5 linked regions of the Coturnix japonica genome follow. The protein of the gene in region 1 interacts with the protein of each later gene in a pairwise test. Links are inferred from orthologs where the notes say so. Each region holds a gene or a part of one and is shown on either strand. Other genes may lie near its edges.

Evidence for each region.
Region 2: the proteins of CCNH (region 1) and PPFIA1 interact in binary tests that used the Homo sapiens proteins (3 or more experiments, as listed by UniProt). The link is inferred for Coturnix japonica from reciprocal best matches to the Homo sapiens genes CCNH and PPFIA1.
Region 3: the proteins of CCNH (region 1) and GOLGA2 interact in binary tests that used the Homo sapiens proteins (3 or more experiments, as listed by UniProt). The link is inferred for Coturnix japonica from reciprocal best matches to the Homo sapiens genes CCNH and GOLGA2.
Region 4: the proteins of CCNH (region 1) and DUSP12 interact in binary tests that used the Homo sapiens proteins (3 or more experiments, as listed by UniProt). The two-hybrid records come from large-scale screens. The link is inferred for Coturnix japonica from reciprocal best matches to the Homo sapiens genes CCNH and DUSP12.
Region 5: the proteins of CCNH (region 1) and SFN interact in binary tests that used the Homo sapiens proteins (3 or more experiments, as listed by UniProt). The two-hybrid records come from large-scale screens. The link is inferred for Coturnix japonica from reciprocal best matches to the Homo sapiens genes CCNH and SFN.

What each region holds. Positions count from the first base shown.
Region 1 is NC_029547.1:54,313,402-54,317,685, reverse strand, and holds the end of CCNH (cyclin-H), read right to left. Parts: exon of another isoform or gene 4,130-4,284; intron 3,357-4,129; coding exon 3,293-3,356; intron 1,752-3,292; coding exon 1,716-1,751; 3' UTR 960-1,715; downstream 1-959. UniProt on the Homo sapiens protein: Regulates CDK7, the catalytic subunit of the CDK-activating kinase (CAK) enzymatic complex. CAK activates the cyclin-associated kinases CDK1, CDK2, CDK4 and CDK6 by threonine phosphorylation.
Region 2 is NC_029520.1:6,956,484-6,960,972, forward strand, and holds part of PPFIA1 (liprin-alpha-1), read right to left. Parts: intron 1,395-4,489; coding exon 1,293-1,394; intron 624-1,292; coding exon 459-623; intron 1-458. UniProt on the Homo sapiens protein: May regulate the disassembly of focal adhesions. May localize receptor-like tyrosine phosphatases type 2A at specific sites on the plasma membrane, possibly regulating their interaction with the extracellular environment and their association with substrates.
Region 3 is NC_029532.1:3,735,146-3,740,127, reverse strand, and holds the start of GOLGA2 (golgin subfamily A member 2), read right to left. Parts: upstream 3,316-4,982; 5' UTR 3,227-3,315; coding exon 2,963-3,226; intron 1,635-2,962; coding exon 1,512-1,634; intron 1,193-1,511; coding exon 1,112-1,192; intron 1-1,111. Other genes in the region: DNA repair protein SWI5 homolog, read left to right, coding at 3,504-3,515, 3,570-3,676, 4,380-4,474, 4,743-4,807. UniProt on the Homo sapiens protein: Peripheral membrane component of the cis-Golgi stack that acts as a membrane skeleton that maintains the structure of the Golgi apparatus, and as a vesicle thether that facilitates vesicle fusion to the Golgi membrane.
Region 4 is NC_029516.1:70,998,694-71,003,622, reverse strand, and holds DUSP12 (dual specificity protein phosphatase 12), read right to left. Parts: upstream 3,374-4,929; 5' UTR 3,318-3,373; coding exon 3,067-3,317; intron 2,972-3,066; coding exon 2,858-2,971; intron 2,785-2,857; coding exon 2,666-2,784; intron 2,110-2,665; coding exon 2,013-2,109; intron 1,554-2,012; coding exon 1,367-1,553; intron 788-1,366; coding exon 626-787; 3' UTR 294-625; downstream 1-293. UniProt on the Homo sapiens protein: Dual specificity phosphatase; can dephosphorylate both phosphotyrosine and phosphoserine or phosphothreonine residues. Can dephosphorylate glucokinase (in vitro).
Region 5 is NC_029538.1:1,605,018-1,609,122, reverse strand, and holds SFN (14-3-3 protein sigma), read right to left. Parts: upstream 2,522-4,105; 5' UTR 2,369-2,521; coding exon 1,628-2,368; 3' UTR 1,129-1,627; downstream 1-1,128. UniProt on the Homo sapiens protein: Adapter protein implicated in the regulation of a large spectrum of both general and specialized signaling pathways. Binds to a large number of partners, usually by recognition of a phosphoserine or phosphothreonine motif.

The sequences.
Region 1 (4,284 bases):
CTGGTAAGGGGCAAGAGCACCAAGCCTTACATGGAGTAGTTGAAGAAACTAGGAACATTTAGCCTGGAGGAGGTGCAGCAGGGGAGACCACACTTCTTCCCACAACTCCCTGAAAAGAGGCTGTAGCAAGGTGGGAATCAGCCTCTTATCCCACATAACTAGTGACTGCGTCAGGTTGTGTCAGGGAAGGTTAGGGCTGGATGTCAGGAAAAGGTTTTGTCAGGACGAGGGGTCATGGCTGCCTAGGCAAGCACTGGGAATCCCCATCCCTGAACCACATCCCTGTAGTTCAGAAATGCGTAACTGGGACCAGATGATCTTAGAGATCTTTTCCAACCTTAGTGATTGTGTGGATATACACTATAGGTAGAAGTAAAAGGCAGAGATAAAAGCACACTCTTGCTACAGACTAATAATGATATCAATCTGTTAGCAAGAATATGGTATTAAAGAGTTCTTTTTTTAGATCCCCTTCCATAAAATACCTGGCTGGTCTGTTGGTCTGCTCAAGTCCAAATTTTAAATTGCATGTCAGAGGAAAAGTTAAGGAATAACTTACTTAAAATAAGTTTCCTTCATTATTAGGCTTTCCTGCTTATGTAACGCAGTAAGGTGATTAATCAGAACACAGAAGTCACAGGACCAGTTTGTAACTTTTTCCTTTTTCTAAATGCTCTGCTAGCAGGGTACAAGCCAGCTCAGAACATAGTAAGGATGGCACAATAAAAGGTGTTTCAGTTAAATCACTTTTCCTTTAGTTGCTAGGTAGTGTGTTAATGGTCAGGCCCTCTGAGGTGAAGCTATGATAGGCTGCACAGTCAGGAAAGAAGAACAGCTTTGGCACTGTTACCAAAGAATGAAATATCATTCTGCCTTGAGTGGGAAGTCTTTTAAATGTGCTTGGCTGGGTATTAGCAGCATAACGCAGCTTAACAAAGAAAAAAAACACAACACAGCTCTGATGAACAGATTTGCATCTGTTTATATGAATTTAAAAAATAAAAAAAAAAAATAAACAAACTATGATGAACACAAAGCTAGGAAAAACCCAGAGCTACATTCAGCTCAATGTATTCTGAGCTGCACGTGTTCTGAAGCAACATATTAAAAGGAAATAGTTCCGCCTAAATTTAGAAACAATGTAACTAACTACTCCGGAAGATCTTTTAAATTATTCTCCTAGGGTGCCCCAAACAGGGTTTGTCACAGCAAGCTGGTCTGAGAGCAAAGCTACAGGAAGAGGAAACAGAGCAGGAGACAAGTCACAAAACCATGAACATAACTTCTAGTATGATAAGTAATTTGCCTGCAGCCCCTTAGTACACTTGGGAAGAGCTTCTCAAACACAACGAGATGTTATGAGCAAGGTTATGTTCTCGTAGCAGTTTCAGTGACAAGCCTGGGCAGAGCACAGCAGCAGATCTTGCTCTCAAGTACTTCAGAATTTATTAGCAGATCTGCATTGCACTTGTATTTAACCACTTTGCTAAACGCCAGAATGGACATAATGTACTGCTGTGCTGTAACCCTGTTCTTAAGTTGCATCTGAAGGCGCTGCTAAACCAAAACTTGAGCTACAATCAACTAAACCTTCAAATAAATGTTTTATTTTGAGGAAATTAAAAACCATATAAAAATACCTCATGCTTCAGCCTACAGAATCTTCTACAGGCAGGTTCAAGTGTGCCACAGAACAGTAAGCACAGGAATAGGCTTCACAAATCCACAACATCTTCATCAGTCCATTCTTCCTAAGGGAAGGAAATCAACCTTGTCATTTTACAGTAAGGTGACCAAGCAATACAGAACTGTGCATGTGGCAGCACTGCATATAGTAGCAGTATTATCTTTTACATATGCTGCTTAAGGAGAGTTCAAGTAATACAACCAACACATTGATCTCCACACTGTGTCTACTGCATGTAAATGACTTACACAGTAAGCTTAAACTGATTTCAAAACACGTGCTTCATGTACTTGAGAGGAATGCATTTGTTCCAAAATATAGGGGTAGAAAAGAAACACATTAATGATTGACAGTGCCCTTCTTGCTCCTGACAACCAGCAAGAAGCACTGTCATTCTTAGTTAACACGTAAGACCAAGCTCCAACTAGAAATACAAGTTCCTTCAAGTCCCACACCAAATGTACGTCTGCCGCTATGAAAACAATGCCTCCCACTTACTCCCAAGGAAATACAAAAGATACAAAGAGCACAATAATGCTATTTGGCAGAGAAAATACTGATAAAAAACACTATTTTTCAACATAGTCACCACTATTAGCTGTGCAAGTGTAAAAAGCAAGAGCCTGCATGCCCTGCTTGTAACTGCTCTGTATTCCACCTGTGCTCTGTATCACTCTTGGCCACACAGGCACAGCCTGCAGGTGGAAAAAAGAAAACCCTGAGAAGAATAAAAGCAGGAGAGCAGCTGCAGTGGAGGAGAGAAGTGCACCTTGAAGCAGGGGATACCCTGCTGGCACTACCCATTGAATCTACCATCAGCACGTTCCTTCTCTCTCCTTTCTGCCCCTTGCCATCTCTTAAGGGTCAGAAAGTAAAGTGAGTGCACTTGCTTAGGGAGTTTCTGCTTCCTGCTTACAGGGATTATCTAAAATGGATGCCTATGTGTACAGTGAATACAACCCATCACCCTCTGTGCTACTCTAAGTGCATAGTTTCCTTGCCTTTGCTCCTGAGACATCCTGTCCCTCACATCCAAATGTACCCAACAAATTCTTTATCCATCCAACAGTCCACCTTCCAAATCTGTATCTTTCCAATTTAGAAATAAGAATGCACCACGAGACAACATCAGACTTTCCAGAAGTGCAGGTAGAAGACATCAGTTGCCCTTTACCTATTCATGACATCACTCCCATCACAGAAGGCCACTGGAATGGCCTACTCATCTGGAGTGCCATGTGCTGGCCTGGGGCCCTGAGCACAGGAAAGGCTGGAGCACCTCTCCCATGAAGACAGGCTGAGTGAGATAGGCATGCCAAGCCTTAAGAAAATACGACTCGGGAGAAATCTCATCATGGCTTTCCAGTACTTCAAATGAGTTCATAATCATGAGGGAGACAGACTTTAAATGGTCTGGTAGCAATAGGACAAGTGGAAATGGTTTACAAATAAAGAAGGGAGATTTACATTAGATGCTAAAACTAACTTGAAAAATATTCTGAGCAACTTTTGTAATGAGATGAAGGAGTTTGTCTCAACAGTGTGTCAGTTTTGTCAGTTATTACTGAGCAGAAAAGTAATTACTTGTACAGAACATTAACTGACCTCATCCAGTTTAGGCTTCTTGGAGTTTTCATCTTCTTCACTAATTTTCCTCTTCTTCCTAAGCCTCAAACAGGAAAAAACAAGAAGCTTCAGTTACTTTTTGAGTCAGACTAATGGTCTGGCCACAGTATTTTAGATTAGTTTATGAACAAATTTGTCACGGTTTTGTAATGTTGCTGTCAGTATTTCACATCGTAACATCATGTGCAGTATGGATCATTAAAAGGTTAATACTCGAGTTCCGTAGAATAACAACGTCCAAAATACTCAGCTCTCAGAAGAGAACTATGTATCCCAGAGGATTTCATGGCCAGAGATAAGTCACGGGAGGAGGACATACATAATCTCACTCCCAGGCTGGAGCTCTCTCTCTCTCAGAGAGTGGGAAGCGTTCCAGCTGTGTCACCTAGAGTTCACAGTAAGCCTCTCGGTTTTTGGGGACTCTCTCTCTGTTTTGTTCAATTTATTAGCCTCAATTATATTATATTATATTGTGTAATCTTGTACTCCGATATCGTATTTAGTAAAATAAGTTTTCCTCCTTAGATTGCTGCTGCTGTTTTCTTTTCCCATTCCCCTTTTCCCCTCCCTTTCGGGCCAGGGGTTCTATGGGGCGGCTGCCCCTGACACAGGTAAATCTAGGTAACCCGTGACAACATTAAAAAATAATAATAAATAACATCCTACTGGAAATTCACGGAGGGTACTAAAATGAAAAGAGCAGATAGAAAATGTTAGCAAGTCCTTTGCCTGCAACATTATTCTTTAGAAAGCATTAACTCTTTGCAGAATTTGTTTTAATCACGTAATTCTGAAGACCGTGACCCTCAAGACAATATGAAATCAAGTGTCCATATTTAGAAGCCATTTGGGATTCCAGTTTTGTGTTAAAAAATAAGCACCATTAGAGCCTGCAATGCAAATCATCACGGAAAGTATTTAGGCAGCATTTAACTACCTGAACCAGAGAACCAAGAGTTTGAACCGACATT
Region 2 (4,489 bases), on another chromosome or scaffold:
TATATACAAATTCACAAAAGTAGTTCAGCAAACTATGAGTTGGCAGCAAAATTCACAATAAGTTTCACCATTTGCATTGCCTGCTTCTAACATCAGGTACAGCTGAAGGGCGGAGCTCCTTTAAATCAGCTTTATTTAATAGCTCAGTGTAAGCAGATTTCTTTCCTCCTGTTCTCTCTAGTCCACTTGTTGTATTACACAATTAAAAGACTAAATCCTGATATTATACAGGTAAACAAACATGCTTTGCTCCAACAAATATATAAACCAAGCATGGTTTGGATGCAATATTAGCACATTTGACAGAATGATGGAATAAGCTTACTGCAATATAACACCTTATCTTGGGAGCACAGTTATTGACAGTATTTTAGTACGGTCTCCACTTTAATATAACAAGTATATACAACTGTATGGTTTACACTAAGAAGGAAAACATGAAGCAGCATAGTTATTACCTTTTCATCAAGGGCTTTATGGTGTTCAAATAAAGATTTTAGTGCTTTGAGAACTTCTACTTCACTAGAAACTCCTGCTGGAGACTGAGCTTGTCTCTTCACGACAGTCATTCTGAGAGACCGCTCATGCCTGGAGACGAGACACTCCAAATGTTCCAGTAACAGCTACAAAAAAAGAAAAAAAAAAGCAACAATTTTTATTCCCATTCTACAGAGTTACAGAAAACTGTGCCTCCAAAAACATGGCATTTTGACGTCTAAATTTCAAGCAACCATTAATTATACCAAGTCTAAGGATGCATTTTATTAACATTTCATTCATTTCACCCATACTAGAAGTGATATCAGAGCTAACGAATTCCCTATACTCTATGTAGTTTTAAAATCAGGTTTCTACTTAACTGACCCTTTCCAGTTCTTCCTCTAATCTGAAGAACAGCATGCTTGTCTGAAGGACATACAAATGAAATACCCTTAACTTTCTGCTGGCAGAATCTGTGTAATCTGATGGAAAAGACCACTACAGCTTGCCCACTCAACTCCTCTAATCTTGAGCACGATATATTTTCAAATCTGTAACTAGAAGAGAGTTGAATAACAGATAGTACTGTGATCTTAAATGCCTTTTTCCTGATTCTGCACAGCAATATTTGGAGCCATACATAAGCTTCCAGGCCTTCTTAACATACATTTGCACCCCCAGAATTACCCCTGTGCAAATAGCAAGGTAAGAAAGCATTGAGCTTTTCTAACTCAATATCCTTTTTTTTCCCCCCCTTCATTTCATTGGATGCTAGAAAACCAACGATCTTGGAGAGAAGACAAGGAACTAACCCTTGTATTATTTCTTTCAGCTTTCAGTTCAGCAATTTCTTCTTCCCTTTCAAGCAGCTGTTCCCTGCATACATTTAGCTCTTTTGTAAGCGCTGCGAATTCCTGAAATAAACCAGACAAATGTAAATACATTAAATCCTAGGATGTAGCAAGAGTGGATTCATATGAACACTTGATGGAATTTCTTAAAGAATTCATTTCAGATTTCTAAAGCCAATACATTTGTACAGTCACGATAAGCAGGCTTAAGTTTCAATGCTTAAAACAGTTATAAAGTGACAATAAAATACACTGGAACGGTACTATGATAACCTTCTTCTGTCTTTCCAGGTAATTACATGAGTTAGGGTAACCCTGTTCACAGAATCACAGAATTATCAAGTTGGAAAAGACTTGGAAGATCATCCAGTCCAACCATCACCAATACTTCCCAGCTAGATCACATTCATCAACACAACATCCAGACGTTTCTTGAACACTCCCATGGTCGGTGACTCCACCACCTCCCTGGGCAGTGCATTCCAATGCCTGACTACCCTTTCCAAGAAATAATACTTCCTAATGTCCAGCCTGAATCTCCCCTGGCGCAGCTTAAAACCATTCCCTCTAGTTCTATCATCGATTACACGAGAGAAGAGGCCAACCCCCAGCTCACTACAACCTCCCTTCAGTTCAACAAAGAGAAAAGCCTGTTTCTATTGCACTTGCATATTGTTTCTAAGGTTTGGGTTTTCTGATACAAAGAGATACTACTGCGCAACTGGAATAGCTACAATATCCTAAACTATTTCCATTCTCTAGCAACAATGTTACAAGAAACATAAAAGGCATTGGACCAACTGAAGGAGCACAATCCGGATACAATGTAAGATACAACTACATAGTATCATTCGGTAAATGCTGAGAATTCCATTCCAGCTTAGTTTGGTAACATTTCAGGTGTAATCTGAAACATTAAGAACAATTATTAGCAGTAAGCCTAAACATGAATGAGGTCATACTTTAGAGGACAGTGCTATATGAAACAGACCGCTTTTGTTAACTATGTCACTTAGGATAAGAAAATACACATCAGCCAACTCAGTAGCTGGTGAACATTACAGAAGATAGAAAAGCTAGTAAACTAATTAGTCTTCTCTATTTTTCTACTTTCTATAAAAGAGAAAGATAAATCATGTCTGTTAGAAAGCCCATAAGTACAGTTGCACTGCTAAGACAATCAAGGTAACAATAAGAATATGCTGTGTAAATACACTGCATAAAAGTTACTTCTCTAATCTTTCCAAACTCTGCAAGATACGCTGCTCAACTGGCAACAGCTGCATATCAAGTAAAGGCTTAAGATGGAGCTGTTTTGTAGTAAAATTCAAAGTGACAAAAAGCCATGCTGAAAACAAAAGGACACATCAACTATTTATACTAGTACGTCCATTCACTCTAACTGGAAGCTAAAACAAGCAGCCTAAAAACGTCTTAATTGAAGTAATTAAAAGACTGGTTTAGAATGCTTTAATCTAAAACACATACATGACAAAGAATTCTTTTGCACGATATATTGCCTAGAGAGAACTCCTTCAGGATTACTAACACAGCAGGTGCTAAAAGTTGTCATGAACAGAAAACAGCACCACCACAGATAGAGAATCCCTCATCATAACCACTCCTGCTAAATAAAAACTTATCATGCATATTCCAGTCAGAATTTGTGAGCATCATTAGCTCACCCCCAGTAACTCTGTGGGACTTTCCACGACTCCCAAGCAAATGACAGCATGCATCTCTTTTGCTCCAGATGGAAGCACAGGTAAACCCAGCCGAGGTTCTAAACGTGTAGTTCTTCACAGGCCCATCCCACTTATCTTTGTATATTATGCAACTGACTGTTTTCAAGTTGTAATGAAGTACTAGAAGTACTAAGTACAAGACTCAAAGTATTTCCAAAAGAGCTTGATACAAACTTACTTTATGGGTTGCTCTTTTCCCCCGTTTTCCAAACAAATAAAAATGCCTCCAAGTGCCAACATCAAAATCCAGAAGCATGGAGACTCAGAAAGGACATCAGGCTGACATGGTGAGCTCTACATTCCTCTAGACTATCTCTGTTCTTCAGGACAGAACACTGAAAGCAGTAAGGATTGCCAGACACTGTTTTGCCACTTGTCCTCAACTTAGTATCACTGTATGGCATTAATAAAAATGTTGCTGAGGACAACAATGAGCTCTGCCTACAGAAAAGCAGTGTATGTTTCAAAGGAAGTTGATTCACCCTTCAAATAATAATTACAGACAGTTCTGTTCCATTGCATTCTCCTGTGCAAATATAAACTGTAGCACAAATATATCATAATTCTGACACGAACCATCACACTGCGAGGCGACCCAAGAAGAACAATGTACATGGGAATTTATACTGCTGCTCCATAAACAGACTGACACGTATTTCTAGCATTGCATAATACATTCATTGCTGTTTGTTTTTACAAAACGTATTTGCTTAGAGTCCCATAAGCTGCTCCATAAAGAACACTCAAGTGTCCTCAGTTTCAGCTGATGCTGCCAAAAGACATGTCCTTTCTAGTTTAAATCACTCTCTTCAGCAGTAGATAATTTGTGATTTCCTCAAGCAGTTCGAAAGGAAACTTTGCAACTTCATGACCTAAAAACATTCTGATTTATCTCACCTTCTCTGGCACTAAATCAATGTACAGAAGCAAATACAAGAAACAAGAAAATTCATAAGCAGCTTTTTTACTTGTCCAAATACCATATTGCTTTGTACATAAAGAGAAGCTTGAAAGTTTCAGAACTGAAGATCTGCTTTGCTTCCAGTTGCAATCAAAATAATAAATACTCCACTCTGAAATTGACAGGAGTGGGAACTCAGAATAAGCCCGACAGAGCACTTACTACAAGAAACAGTGTGCCAAATATACTAGATAAATATCCTCTGTTGTTTAGAGTGCACTGGCAAAAACCCATGTAGTAAACTGAAATGCTTACTCAAAAAAGTAACTTTCTGAACCAAACGACACTCAATGTCAGAAAAGAAAACTCAGCAGAAAACTAAACTCAGAAGTATTAGCTCTGTTGCTGTTCAGTAATATATTTTCTGGGTTTTATCCACATATTCCAACATTTCTATATGTCTTCATTAAAAAGAACTGACCTTCACCCCCCAGTTCTAAACACCACAGACA
Region 3 (4,982 bases), on another chromosome or scaffold:
TTACTTCATTCATGAATCAAGCAGCCACGGGGTTACAGCAGTAGAGAAGATGGATTTAATGAGAGTAATGAGCTGGAAAACTGCAGAGGGGAACGAATGGAACTGCCTCCATTGTTTTTCTGGAGGACAGACATGTGTGCTCTCAAGGAATGACACATTTTAGGGGCTCCAAGGAAAGTCAGGAACTCCCTTGCTTCTTTCACGTACAGGTTACTTGGCCTCTGTTTGTCCAAGCTCTCATAAACTTGGAACATCGCATGGACATCTCAAAAACACGGCCTGCATTTGTTCTGATTGGAACATTCTTTTCACTTAACACTTCAAGATGCAAAAGTCAATGAGACGACCAGAAGGATGCCTTCCTTCTGCCTCCACAGTGAACAGTTTTGAAGTAAGTAATGAAATAAGGTTTGTTTATAATAAATATATATGAAATAATGAAGAGCTCACAGGAGTCCTCCTGTCAGCACAGTTAGCACCTGAACACACTTCCATTGCTCAGCAGACTCCTTCCTGCCCTTCCTCCCCCAGGAGTGAGGGAAGACACTCAAGCCTGTAAATGCAGTACTTGAAATACCCGACTTCCTGCCTAAGCACATTTAGAACTGTGGTACTTGCCAGACTGTACATCACCTGTGCAGGTTTCATCACCTGTCATAAAATGGGGCGGCTGGAATAACTAAAGGCTTGCTCAGGGCAGGCATGAGCAGAAACTCGCCCTTCAGGAGCACAGCACTGAAGTGAATAAAACAACACAGACCAGGAGAAATACACATGAATAAAGCACTACTCCTCCCTAACACAGCGTCTCTCAGCAGTTAACTTGGTTTACTGCCTCACCCCAAACTCTGTTTGCTCCTTTCTGCCTTCCAGCTCGGCTGTCTGAGGGACGTGCACTGGACATGGGTGACATATTTGCATTTTTTGACAGAAAACAGGAGGAAACAAGCACTTACAAGCGATGGAAACGCATGTTAACAAACAGCCCCGTGTTAATAAAAACAGCAGACATGCCAGAACAAGGCTCCATCTGAATTCACAGTGTAAAACATAAGTTAAGCATGCAGAGGGGACAGCGAGTCAGTGAGAGGGACACGGAGCACTGCCTCACCTTCCTTCTGTCCAATGAGGGTATGGCTACCCCATTGGAGCGGTTAAGGTCTGACACCAGCACCTTCAGAATGTTCTGAATCTAAAGGAGGCGAAAGAGAAGGGGAAAAGAGAAACGGCTCAGAAAAGGACAGAGAGAAAAACGTCCATCAAAGGCAGCCAAAGAAACGGGCATCGCCCAGCCCCCGAGGAGAGGCAGCTCGGGGTGCATCCAGGGTTGCGTTACAGCTCTGAACGCTCCAGCACTGCTCCAGCACACACCCTGACTCACAGGCTGCTAACAGGGGCTCCTCAGCCGCTCACATTACACTGTTTAACCCTCCCCCAGCTGCAGTTGTGCTGTTTGGGAAACCAAAGCTGGAGGCAGAGGGGATACGTGGGAGGAAGGGGGGGACGCTCACGTTCTCTGGAGACTGTCGGCCGTCGTTTGTGGGAGTCTCAGGCCGACTTCCTTCTTTACTCTTTCGTTTCTTCTTGGCTCCCGCAGTCGCTCCAGGGCTGTTCTTCTGCTGATACTCCTTCAGCTGCGGGGAAAGAAAAGATTAATGTGAAGTCCAAATGGAAGATGTCCTCTGTGAAGGGAATGGCAACAAGAAAATGACAACATAACCAGTGGGTAAGGAGTCAGCTGAGCTGTAAGGACAAGAGAAACCGGCCTTAAAGATGGATATACGTTAAAAATAGTTCAAAGGCTCCAAAAGGGAGAATGAGAGTGATGGGTTTGTGACAGACCGAGAGCTGTCAGTGCTGTCCAACTAAGGAAGTGCCCAGGAAACAACTTGATGCTGCAAGAAGCAACGTTTGTAAATCTGTAACCAACAGCAACGAGGGAAAAAGAACGATAACATGGGATGCAAACTGGAAAAGTGGAGTCTGATAATAAGATGGAACAAGAATGTTGAAAGAGCTTTAGGAGAACGACAGCCCTGCAGGTAACACACTGATACAGGCACAGAATCACAGAATGACCCGGGTTGGAAGGGACCTCAAGGATCATGTAGTTCCAACCCCCTGCCTGGCAGGGCCACCAAACATACACATTTACTAGATCAGGTTGCCCAGGGCCCCGTCCAACCTGGCCTTGAACACCTCCAAGGACGGGGCATCCACAACCTCCCTGGGCAGCCTGTTCCAGGGCCTCACCACTCTCCTAGTGAAGAACTTCCCCCTAAACTGCCAGCACTGCGGGGATGAGCACACTGCGATGGATGCTCAATTGGAGGCCGTTGTGCCCAGGAGAAGCTCAGAGCAGCACAAATGGCCGCAGCTCGGGGCTGTGAGCGCCCATGGAACGCGGGGCTGAGCTTAAACGTCAAGGTGAAAAGCACCGGAACGAAAAGGATCCTCGGCAGGATTTCAAAATGGAGCCCGAGCTGCTCCGGGGCACTTTCCCATTCGTTTGACTTTGACACGGGAGGGCATCGCGATGGGACGGAGCGGGCCGAGCTGTGAGAAGGTAAAAAGGGAAGAGAAAGGGGAAAAGAAAGGAGGGAAAAAGGAGAAGAAAAGAGGGAGATGGAGAGGAAACCCGAACGGGAAAGAGCGGCACACACAGAACGCAGCAGTGCAGCAACACAGGCCCGGCCCCACCGGGGCGACAAGGAGCTGCGGGACCGGGCCGGGCCTCACCGCAACGCTACGGGCACGGCACAACACGGCACAACACGGCCCCACATAGCACAACACGGCCCCACACAGCACAACACGGCCCCACACAGCACAACACGGCCCCACACAGCACAACACGGCCCCACATAGCACAACACGGCCCCACACAGCACAACACGGCCCCACATAGCACAGCACGGCCCCACACAGCACAACACGGCCCAGCACAACCCCCCGCCCTCACCTTCTTCTTGGCCGCCGCCAACTTGCTCTGCCTGCTGCCGTCCGCCATGTCCGCCCCGCTCCCGGGCCACGTCAGCCGCCGGGTGGAGCGGCGCTGTGCTCGGGCAGAGCTCCGCCCCGACACCCGCCCCGACACCCGCCCCACCCCGCGGCCTGGGCTCGGCCGGGCCCCTCCGCCCGGTCTGGGCCGTGAATGGCGGCCGGTCCCGCCCCGCTCAGTGCCCGCCCACGGCGGATGATCGCAGCCCCGCGTTCCGGTTCCCATCGTGCCGTGCTGCCGGTGCAGGCCGCGGCCCTGGCGGAGCAGAGCGGTCCCGGTTCGGGGCGCAACGCGCCGCCCCCGCAGCGCAGGTAGGAGCGGAACGGGTCGGTTCTGTTCGGTTCGGTTCTATGTGCTGACTCGGGGCTCCCCGCGCTGTTTCAGGGCTCTCGGCGGTTCCCGGCGGAGCGGTGGTGCCGGTTTCAGATCCCCGGTGAGCCGCCCATCCCGTCCCATCCCGTCCCGTTCCCCCGGCTCCTCTCGGTGCCGTTCAATAACCGCCATGACGCGCCGTGTCCCCGCAGCGCCCGGCCCCATCCCGCACAACGGGCGGAGCATCGTGCGATAGTATCGAAGAACTGAAAGAGAAGGAGCGAGCTCTGGACCGGGAGATCGCGGAGCTGCTGTCCGAGTACGGCCCCGTTACAGCCCCGTTACGGCCCCGTTATTGTCCCGGTACAGCCCCGGTACCGCGGCCATCCTAAGGGTTATGGGATCCATGCACGGCAGCAGGGAGCTCCTTCCCCGTTGTTTCCCCAGTGCTGTGTTGGTCAGGCTCTGAGCTCCCCTGCTGATGTACATTGGGAAGTAACGGGTGTGTTTCTATAGCTGATGGCAGCACACGTTGTGCTAACAGAGCTGCTGATGTATATAAGCTGAGATCTCAAGCTGAGGCCGCTGCCCAGCTGCCTGGATGAGCGTTTCCCTTGGTCTGTGTGAGGCCATGGACACTTGGTTTGAATGAGGTGGTGGGGGTTAATCATAGAGACATGAAGGCTGATAAAGAGCTCTGATCCCCACCCTGTGCCCACTGCCACGTCCCTCTATTCCACGTCCCTCTATTCCACGTCCCTCTATTCCACGTCCCTCTATTCCACGTCCCTCTATTCCACGTCCCTCTATTCCACGTCCCTCTATTCCACATCCCTCTATTCCACGTCCCTCTGTTCCACGTCCCCATGGCTCTAGAACACCTGCAGTGATAGGGGCTCCTCCATCCCTGTGCTGTACAATGCCCCACCACTCTGAGAAAGGCGTTTTTCCTGCTATCCAACCCAAAATCATTGCTCTAAACAATGATGGGTTTGACCAGGCTGGCTCTGCACACCTCAGATATTGCTTTGTTCCGCAGTGGTTTTGTTGTGTGGCTTTGTTACAGAGGGTACAATGTGGAGGAATTGGAGAAGCACATCTCTCTGCTCCATGAGTATAATGAAATTAAAGATGCTGGGCAGATGCTGCTGGGCAAACTGGGTAAGAAAACTATTGAAGAAGCTCTTGGTGAAGCAAATCTTGTTATATAAAGAGATATTGATGCCTTAAAGGCAAAGCTTGTTTCAAAGAATCCTCAGTGTTCAGCTTCCTTAACAAAACCAAGTGGGGGCACAGCTGGAAATCTTTGGTTCCTTGGCTGTGGGTGGTTCTGTGGGATACATACAGTCTACTGGGAGGAAGGCACAAGTCTTTCCTGACCTATTTGTTCTCTTCTTAATGAAAGCAATGGAATTTCTTTCTTTTCTAGCTGTTATCCGAGGGGTTACTACGAAGCAGCTGTACCCTGAGTACGACCTGGAGCTCAATGATTAACATGGGACCCATAGACTGCTGTGACCTGCAGACCTGACTGCTGCAGGGCTGTTGTGTTTGGGTGTCGTGCCCATTTAGAGCCAACAGAAATGGCTTCTATGCTGAATTTCAAGAGGTTTCATTAGCAGCCACGTTTCTCAGCAGTTTTGGGATGTGCAAGTTGTGGATGATATCA
Region 4 (4,929 bases), on another chromosome or scaffold:
CCCCCATTTCAGTACAGCTTACACCATCTCCTCAGGCATTACATTAAGAGGAGAATTATACTGTAGGATATGCTCTTGAGATAGATATTTATACTTCTCTTACGCTAAAGTTTTAAAAGAATCTTGCTTTTCAGTGTTACTAGTCCAACAAGGGCATGTTATGGCCCTTCACTGAACCTTACAATATTTCCCTGCCCTGTATACCACCTAAACTTCCCTAGCAGAAGGCAGACAGTACTGTTGTCCACAACTTAAAACTATCACGATAGCATATTTTTCTTTGTAAATAAGGATTAGAATTTGTAAATAACAATTTTATTCAGTCTGTTGCTGTAAACATCATCTTCAGGCATTCTTGTACATCTTTGACCACTGTTTAACACATCTTTAAAGGATGTGCTTTACTGTCCTTATATACAAGCATTTATGTTATATTTAAATATGCGTATATATATGAATGTATACATCCTGTATTTCAGATATACTGAAAGCAATAATAGATCAGGTGCTCAAGTAATTCCTCTGCTTACAAAGGGATGGAAGTCTCAAGCTCTGTCCTGGCAAACCCAGGGTAGCTGGAATTTGTCTGTGGTCATTCAGAGATCCATTGAAAGAGGCTCTGAGTTCAGGTTTTGGCAGCGGGGAAGTTACCAACTGACAGAGTTCTCGCTTCATCTACTCGACTTTTGTGTATCTGGAAGGCAGGGGTCACCCAGTGGCCACAAGAACACTGCTCACCCCACCAGCTAAAGGAACCCAGCTTAGATGTGCATTTGGGACACAGAAGCTGCAAGAAAAACAAATAATCCATTGTAAGATACATGCAGATGTATTCTATGGTACATTAAGCTACAGCAACCTGCACTAAAGCCAGCACTTGTAGCATTTCACAGAAGTTAAACAGTCTGAAAAACAGGACAAAGAAAAACACCAAAAAACAACAGCTGTATAGGCACAGCTGGAGCTTGCCAATGCCCCAGTGTGTGACAGGCAGCTGTGCTAGCAGAAGGGAAGACATGGAAATGCAGCTGCTCAGACCTGGTGTGGTTCCAGAACACTTGCCAGTCTCAGACATCAGAAAGCCTTGGTCAGCATAAGACCAAAATGGATTTTTATATGTCTCATAATCCAATATACTAAAAACAACCAAAACCTGTCAAATATCCTTCCTAGCATACTCAATCCAACAAGATCACCAGCTCACTTCCTTATACAGGGATATTCTAACATTTGAGAACCTGTTCATAAGCTGCAAAGCTGATGCAGGAGAGGCTGGGAGACCTAGGATGTTGCGTGGGGGCCTTCGCATCAAGGAACAGCAACAGTTTGTTTTACCTCAGCTAAGATATCCAAAAAATGCATTCACCTGTCCTTCTGTTACTCCTAGCAGTGCTGGCTCCATCCACTGCACAGGCTCAATGAAGTAAGAGGTGCACTTAGCAGGGCCACTGCCACGAAGATGCATAGACTCCGTTATTCTCTTGTGAGCAAAGGCTGTTGGTCCACTTCCTTCCATGTGGGACAAAATGCTGGAGCTACGGAACAAAGCGCGCCTGTTCTCCGTGACAAGAGGGGGAAAAAGGGTGAAACACTTATTGGTGAAGCTTAGAGAGCACAGGGACAAGGACCTTATCTTTCCATAGGCAGGCACTGACTCCATTTAGGGCTGCATCTTAACAAATCTTACAATCTGCATAGCCCTGGGCTCTGCTTTACCACTGTATGCTACAATATATGACTGCAGAGCAAGCAGTATCATGTATTCAAGCAAAACTACACCCGCCTGCGTAATGTGGCAAGTTAGGGTGCACGAGTGCTGCACAACTTTGAGTTTTGTATTTCATCATGTATTTGTGCTTGTTTAATTGCTGTGACATGCGTTGTAGGGAAACTTACACAAGATCTTATCCCTGTTCCAGAAATAACGACACGGCCTCTGATTGACACAGGTTATTTTCCTCTCAAGATCATTTCAAAGTGACATTTTGTGGGAAATACAAAAGGTTCAGTACCTGCATTTCCTGCATCTATAGAGAACTTCTGTGTTTGGAGTCTGGTGTGTGTTGGTTGGATCAACAGCAAAGACTTCTTGGGGTAAGTCTTGAAGATCTGCAGAGGGGACAGAGTTGTAAGTCAGACTGATAAAGGCACTGATGTCCCATGCTGTCCTCATGCAGCACACCAGACACAAGGGGTCTATCTGATCCACAGCCAGTTGAATACAGCTACAAGCCACAGCAGCAGGGCTCAGAGGTCATGGATCACGGCATATAACTTAAGACTGGGAACTGTCAGAATTTAAAGCAGCTGCACATCAGAAAGTGGGCGCCTGGTGCTGTCCAATGCAGCATGAAGCAGACCGCATGGCTGCCATGGGCACATCTGCATGTGAGCACTTAGTACCCTGCTCAGGAGCAAGCAGTAGGACTCACAGAATCGTCTGAGCTGGAAGGGGCCTTTGAAGGACATCCAGTCCCTACCCCCTGCAGTGTACAGGGACATCTGCAGCTCCATCACATTGCTCATACCAGCTCCATTCTGACCTCGAACATCTCTAAGGACGGGGCACCCACCACCTCCCTGGGCATCCTGCCTCATCCCAAGCTCAGGGCTCAGTAACACGGTGTGGCTTTTGGACAAGGCATCCCCAAGCTGCCCCACTCACCGGAGAACCTCTCCGTGAGCACCTGCAGGCGATGCTGCTTGTACAGGGCACTGCTGCTGTCCACGACACAGCCCATGGCCTCGTATAGCTTCAGCTGCCTCTGGAAGCCCGGGTTCACCCTGCGGTACGGGAGAGGAGAGCAAGCTGAGACCGGGCCCGTCCGGCTGGGGGTGCCGGGTTAGGGGCACTCACTCAGCGTCGGGTTTAGCGGCCCTGACGGCGGCGTAGGCCTCCTCCCAGCCGAGCCCCTGGGTCTTCATCAGGTACGCGGTCACCACGGCCACGCTGCGGCTCACTCCGGCCTGGCTGCGGGCGAAAGGCGGAGACGAAGCGATGGCTTAGAGCAGCTCGGGGCGGCCGGCCCCAACACACCACACCGCACCACCAACCCCGACCCTCACCACCGCACGAGGACGGCCCCGCCGCCCGCCCGCGCCGCGCCGATGAAGGCAGCGCACTCATCCAGGCGGCTCAGCAGGTCGGCGCCGGGCTCGTCCAGCGCCCGGATGTACAAGGACTGCAACCCCGGCACCGGAGGCGGCTCCTCCGCGTCCACCGTCAGCACCGCCATCACCCCGGCCGCCTCCAGCGCCTTCGAGGACGAGCACGACTCCGCGCCGCCCACGTAAAGCCCCGGCAGCACCGGCACCATCCCGCCGCCCCGGCTACGGCTCCGGTCCCGCCCATAATGGCGGCTTCCGGCGGTCCCAAGAAGGGGGAGGTTCACAGAATCACACAGTATCACAGAATGACCCGGGTTGGAAGGGACCTCAAGGATCATGTAGTTCCAACCCCCCTGCCTGGCAGGGCCACCAAACATACACATTTACTAGATCAGGTTGCACAGGGCCCCGTCCAACCTGGTCTTGAACACCTCAGCCCAACAGCCAGTAGAGGCAGCGTGGAGCTCCAGCCCTTTGCTGGCAGAGCAGTGTGGGAAGCTGAAGTGTCCTTGGCTCTCTGCAGCGCTACAACTAAAACATACATGTGTTATCAACGCTATTCTCATCCTAAATCCAAAGCACAAGCTGCTGGGAAGAAAATAATCCCAGCCAAAAGTGGGACGCTCTCATAGATGAGAACACGGTGTGTTAGCAGGATACCTGTGCAAAACATTGCCATGCAACACATTTACAGCTTGAAGTGAGATGTAACTAACAGTTGCAGCAAAATACTATGGTGAAACATTGAGTTATTCAAGTCTTGAGGGGTTGAATAAAGTCAGCAGGCGAGTACACCTTAGTGAAGGGACTATGTGTTTGATGGCAGGGACATATTGTACAGGGATTGGATGAGTACTAAGAGGTGGTTAATTGTGTCTGTGGGCCTTCAAATGTGAATTTGTGGGGGTGAACAGTAGCATCTGTGACTGTTTTTGCAATGACGAAAGCGACAGACAGAGTTGAGGCGCAGAAGGGAGTGGTGTGGTGCATCAATTCCCAGAGCTGGGGATGCTGGGGGAACATGAAAAACCTACAACTTCAAAGTGAATATCTGTGGTGGGGGAAAGCCCCTGGGCAGCTCTTTGTGTCTGGGGTTGTGCTCCCTAAACAATGCAGCCGTTTCTCTTCGCCTCCCTTTGCTGTGCTTGCCACCTGTAGCTTGAGCATATGGCGATGGATCCCGAGTTTGCTCACAGCTCTCAAAATAGAGTCAATATTGTTTTCGGTTTGATTGAACCTTCCCCACCCACCTCTGCCTCCCCCCTCTTCGGTTTTTGTCTTCTCCTACGCCACTGAAATTTCTAACCGTTTGTTCTCCCCCGGATTCTGGGAAACTGTGTGAGTAATGAAGCAAGCTCAGGTGCAAAGCAAAACAAACTGGAGGGCAGACTGCTGCCCACTGCCTCCAGTAAGAATGTTCCATCTCAGCATGTGCTGCAAGGGAGGGCCTGGGCCTTCATGGAAAGGAAAATCCTTGTGTACACATGAACTATTTCATGAGAAGAAGAGTCTGCAGCCTGTAGATGACACGTGGCAAAGCTGTGCCCTGGGAAGTGGTGGAATCACCATCTCTGGAGGTGTTGAAGAAATATAGAGATGAGACGTAACCGTGGTGTGGTGGTGTTGGTTGATGATTGTACTAGATGCTCTTAGTTGTCTTTCCCAACCTTAATGACTCTACGGTTTTATAATTCCAAGGGCTGATAGGTGAGGATATCTTGAGTTATTCACAAGAGTCAATGACACTGAGCTTCTGTGTCCTCCTCAGATCTGGCAGCCCTCTCTGGAGCTCCAACAGAGGATTTTTCAATAACCCCCTAT
Region 5 (4,105 bases), on another chromosome or scaffold:
AGCAGGTTCTGCTCCGCTCATCCTCCCACAGCCAGAGCATTCCCACGGCCCCATCCTCCCCACCGCAGGGTCGTGCCTCAGTTTCCCCATACCCAACACTGGACCGTGCCAAAGCACAGCTCAGCACTATGTCCCCAATGTCCCCAAGTGAAGACCCCGTTGAACCGGCACACCCTGAGTCACTCGGCTTCCTCCTGCCACCCCATTTCCCATCAAAGCCGGGTCCTGCCCAGCACGGCCCAGCCCTGCTGCTCTCCATCTGATGAGCTCACGGCCCAGGCTGCCAGGACTGGATTTCAGTGTAATTAACTGTTCGTGTTGAAACTCGCGCTCCCAGAGCTGCACCCTTCGCTGTGGCTGAGAGCCAGGGCCAGAAGTGCTGAGCTTTCTCCAGCGCCGGCACATCCACACCTCCATGGGGATGTCCTCACCTCGGTGGGATGCTGTCACCTCCCCTGTGACAGCTCCGTGTCAGTGCTGGAGGGGAAGAGCTGAAACATCCCCCTGTCTGCACGGAGCCCCAGTAATGGGGTTTGGGACACTGTGGGTTGCGTGGTTTGGGTGGGGACACCATGGGGATGGAGATATCATGGAGGTGGGGACATCAAGATGGGGATGGGGACATTGTAGGGATGGGGACATCATAGGGATGGGAAGACCATAAGGGTGGAAACATAATGAGGATAGGGACACTATGAGGATGGGGACACTATGGAATGGGGACACCATGGGGATGGAAACCCTACGGGGATGGAAATACTATGGGGGTGGGGACACCATAGGAACATCTTGGGGATGAGGACAGTACAAGAATGGGAAAACCAAAGGGATGGAGACACCATGGGAATGGGGACATACAATTGCAGGGCTGGAGACCTGGGACATACTCTCCCTATGGAAAACCCACCTAGAAAGCCCATTCTGAGACCCGTCCCTGAGGTCTGGGGCTGGCTGAGTACCCCCACACCCCATGGCGGGGCTGGGAGGGGCTGCAGGCAGCCAGACCTGCACTTTGGAGGCCCCGAGTGCTCCCCAGCATGGCGTGGCACGCAATGGGACCGGCTGTGGGAGCTGCAGGAGCTGCCTGGGCTTGTGCACGACAGGAGAGATGAGGCGACCACAGAGGCAGACGTGCACGAGATGGTTTATTGGAGCCACACAGAGGCTTCGGCAATTCGCAATCCTCCATCCGGGTGGGGGGCACATCAACCCCCCCCCTCCCCTTTCTCCCCATCCCGTCCCATCACCTCCTCCCATTGCCCCCAAGGGACCAGCGGCACGGCTCTAGCCCCCCAAGACAGAGGGCTAGGGCCCCCCCTAAGCTACGCTGGGGTATCCCCCAAACAAAGTGTTAAAGGGGTGAGGGGAGCATGACAAGAACATGGGGGGGGGGAGAAGGAAAGGGGAGGCCCTGCCAAAGGGCAAACATATGGACCCCACTCCCAGAACTGGAGGGGGGGTAAGGGTGGGGGGGCGAAATACCTTCCCCACTCCTTAAAAAAGGAACAAAACAAAAGGAAAAGACACCGAAGGGCTTCGGGAAGGGGAAGGGGAAAGGGGGGGGAGTCTGGGAGGGAGGGGAGGAGGAAGGAGGTGGGGGATGGACCCCAGCTGCATTGGGGGCCGTTCAGTTCTTGGGCTCTTCGCCAGCCTCGCCGCCGTCTTCACCCGCGCACTCGGCTGTCCATAGCGTCAGGTTGTCCCTGAGCAGCTGCATGATGAGGGTGCTGTCCTTGTAGGAGTCTTCGCTGAGCGTGTGCAGGTCCCCCATGGCCTCGTCGAAGGTGGTCTTGGCCAGCGAGATGGCCTGCTCGGGGGCGTTGGCGATCTCGTAGTGGAAGACGGAGAAGTTGAGGGCCAGCCCCAGGCGGATGGGGTTCGTGGGCTGCATCTCCTTTTTGCTGATGTCCATGGCCTCTTGGTACGCCTTCTGGGCGCTGTCGATCGTCTCCTTGCGGTCGTTGCCGGAGGCCACCTCAGCCAGGTATCGGTAATAGTCTCCCTTCATCTTCAGGTAGAACACTTTGCTCTCTGCATCTCCGGCCTTCTTGATGAGGTGCTTCTCCAGCAAGCCCAGCACCACGTTGCAGACGCCCTTCAGCTCCTCTTCCACCTTCTCCCTGTATTCATTCACCAGCTGCGCTTTGTCGTCTCCCTCCTCGGTTTTGTGCTCGATGCTGGAGATGACCCTCCACGCCGAGCGCTGGCAGCCCACCACGTTCTTATAGGCGACGGAGAGGAGGTTGCGCTCCTCGTTGGACAGCTCGTCTCCATGCTCCACCACCGCCTTCATGAAGTCCGCCATGTCCTCATAGCGCTCAGCCTGCTCGGCCAGCTTGGCTTTCTGCACTTGGTGGTTTCTTGCCATGGCTGAGGGCGGATGAGGAGCAGGATGAGACGAGGAGTGGGGCCGGGAGCCGTCGGAGCCTCTGCTGAGCTTCACCGCCCCGATTCGCTTTTGGCTGAGCGTCGGAGCCCCGAGCAAGAGCAGGAGGAGCCAACGAGGCTGAAGGAGCGGCCTCCTCCTCCTCTGCTTCCTCCCCGCAGAGCCCGCCCTTAAAAAGCAAATTGCCGTGAGTCATCATGCCCCGAGGCACAGGGTGATGGGGAAGGGGTGAGCGGGTGGCACCCACCCTGCCCTGGATCAGGTGGGTGCCGGGAGGGAGAGGATGTGTTCAGGGAGTTCATGGTGAGCCCCCCCTGTGTCAATGGGATGTCCCACTGGATCAATGGAGAAGTCTGGATCAATGGGACATCCTATGTCAGTGGGAGACTCTGAAACAATGGAGGAGGGAAGATCAACTGGGGACCCCGGATCAATGGGAAACCCCAAATGAATGGGAGACCTAGAATCAGTGGGGACTCCAGATCAGTGGGGGAGCCTGAACCAGTGGGAGAGCCTGGATCAATGGGATACCCAGACCCACGGGAGACCTGGAATCAGTGGGATCCCGAAATCAATGGGAAACCCCAAATACTTGGAAGACTTGGGATCAGTCAATGGGATCCCCAGATCAATGGGGGACCCTGAGTTAATGGGGGAAACCGGATCAATGGGGGACCCCAAATAAATGGGAGACCAGGAATCAATGGAGATCCCAGATCAATGGGGGACCATGGACCAATGGGGGAACCCTTCCCCATCTGCCAGGAGTGCTCAGAACAGGGAGCAGTGGGGTCGTCACATTGGGGTGAAGCAGGAAAGCGGCAGCACCCAGTGCCCCCATCCCAACCACCCTTAGAGAAACAGCACGGGGAATAAACCTGGCTGTAAAAATGGTCTCCTCCCCAAAAATCCCATCGCTGTCATTTTTATATGATGATTAACTTGTCGGTGATTGCAAGGGCTTGAAGGGCTGGTATTTATTCCCACTGGTGGGGAAATCGAGGCAGGAGGAGCAGCACGTTACCCCAGCACTGCTGCAGGGATCAGGGCCAGGATTGGGATTGGGGCATTCCCAACTCCTCCACCCTGCCTGCTCAGGGGGAATTGCCCTGGCACTTGCAAGTACTCAACCCCAACCCCCCCATTGAACCATCATTGGACATCCCCAAACCCAAGGCAGCTCCACACCCACAAACCCCACTGGATCCCCATTAAGGCTTCTCCACCACCCATCCCCATGTCCCCCACCCTCTCCGCTCATCCCACCGGGGCTCTTTTCTCTCCCTTTACGCTGTACTGGAAGAATTGGGATTATTATTCCTTCTTTTTTGTCAGTCTCATTTTGATTCGAGTTCTGCCCAGCAGCGCTGGCGGCCCCGATTAGGATCTGAGCTCGGCGTTGCGCTGCAGTTTCGCTCTCAGCCTGTTCCCACACGCCGGCACAGGGCAGGGTGCGGCGGGCAGCACGTGGGGATGGAGCCAAGGGCTTCACCAGCGCTGTGCCAGCACCCTCAGCCCCATCCCTGACATCCTCTCCCCATTGGGGTTGCTCAGGGCTGGCAGCTCTTGGTCCCAAGCTTATGCGGTCCCAGTCCCCATCCAGCCACATGGTGGGGGCTGTTGAGTTTGGGGCTCAAAGTGGACCCCCCGTGAGCACTGCTCGACCTCATGGATGCACAGGGGCTGTGGTTTTGAACAGAATGCACTTCTGCCCCCTAC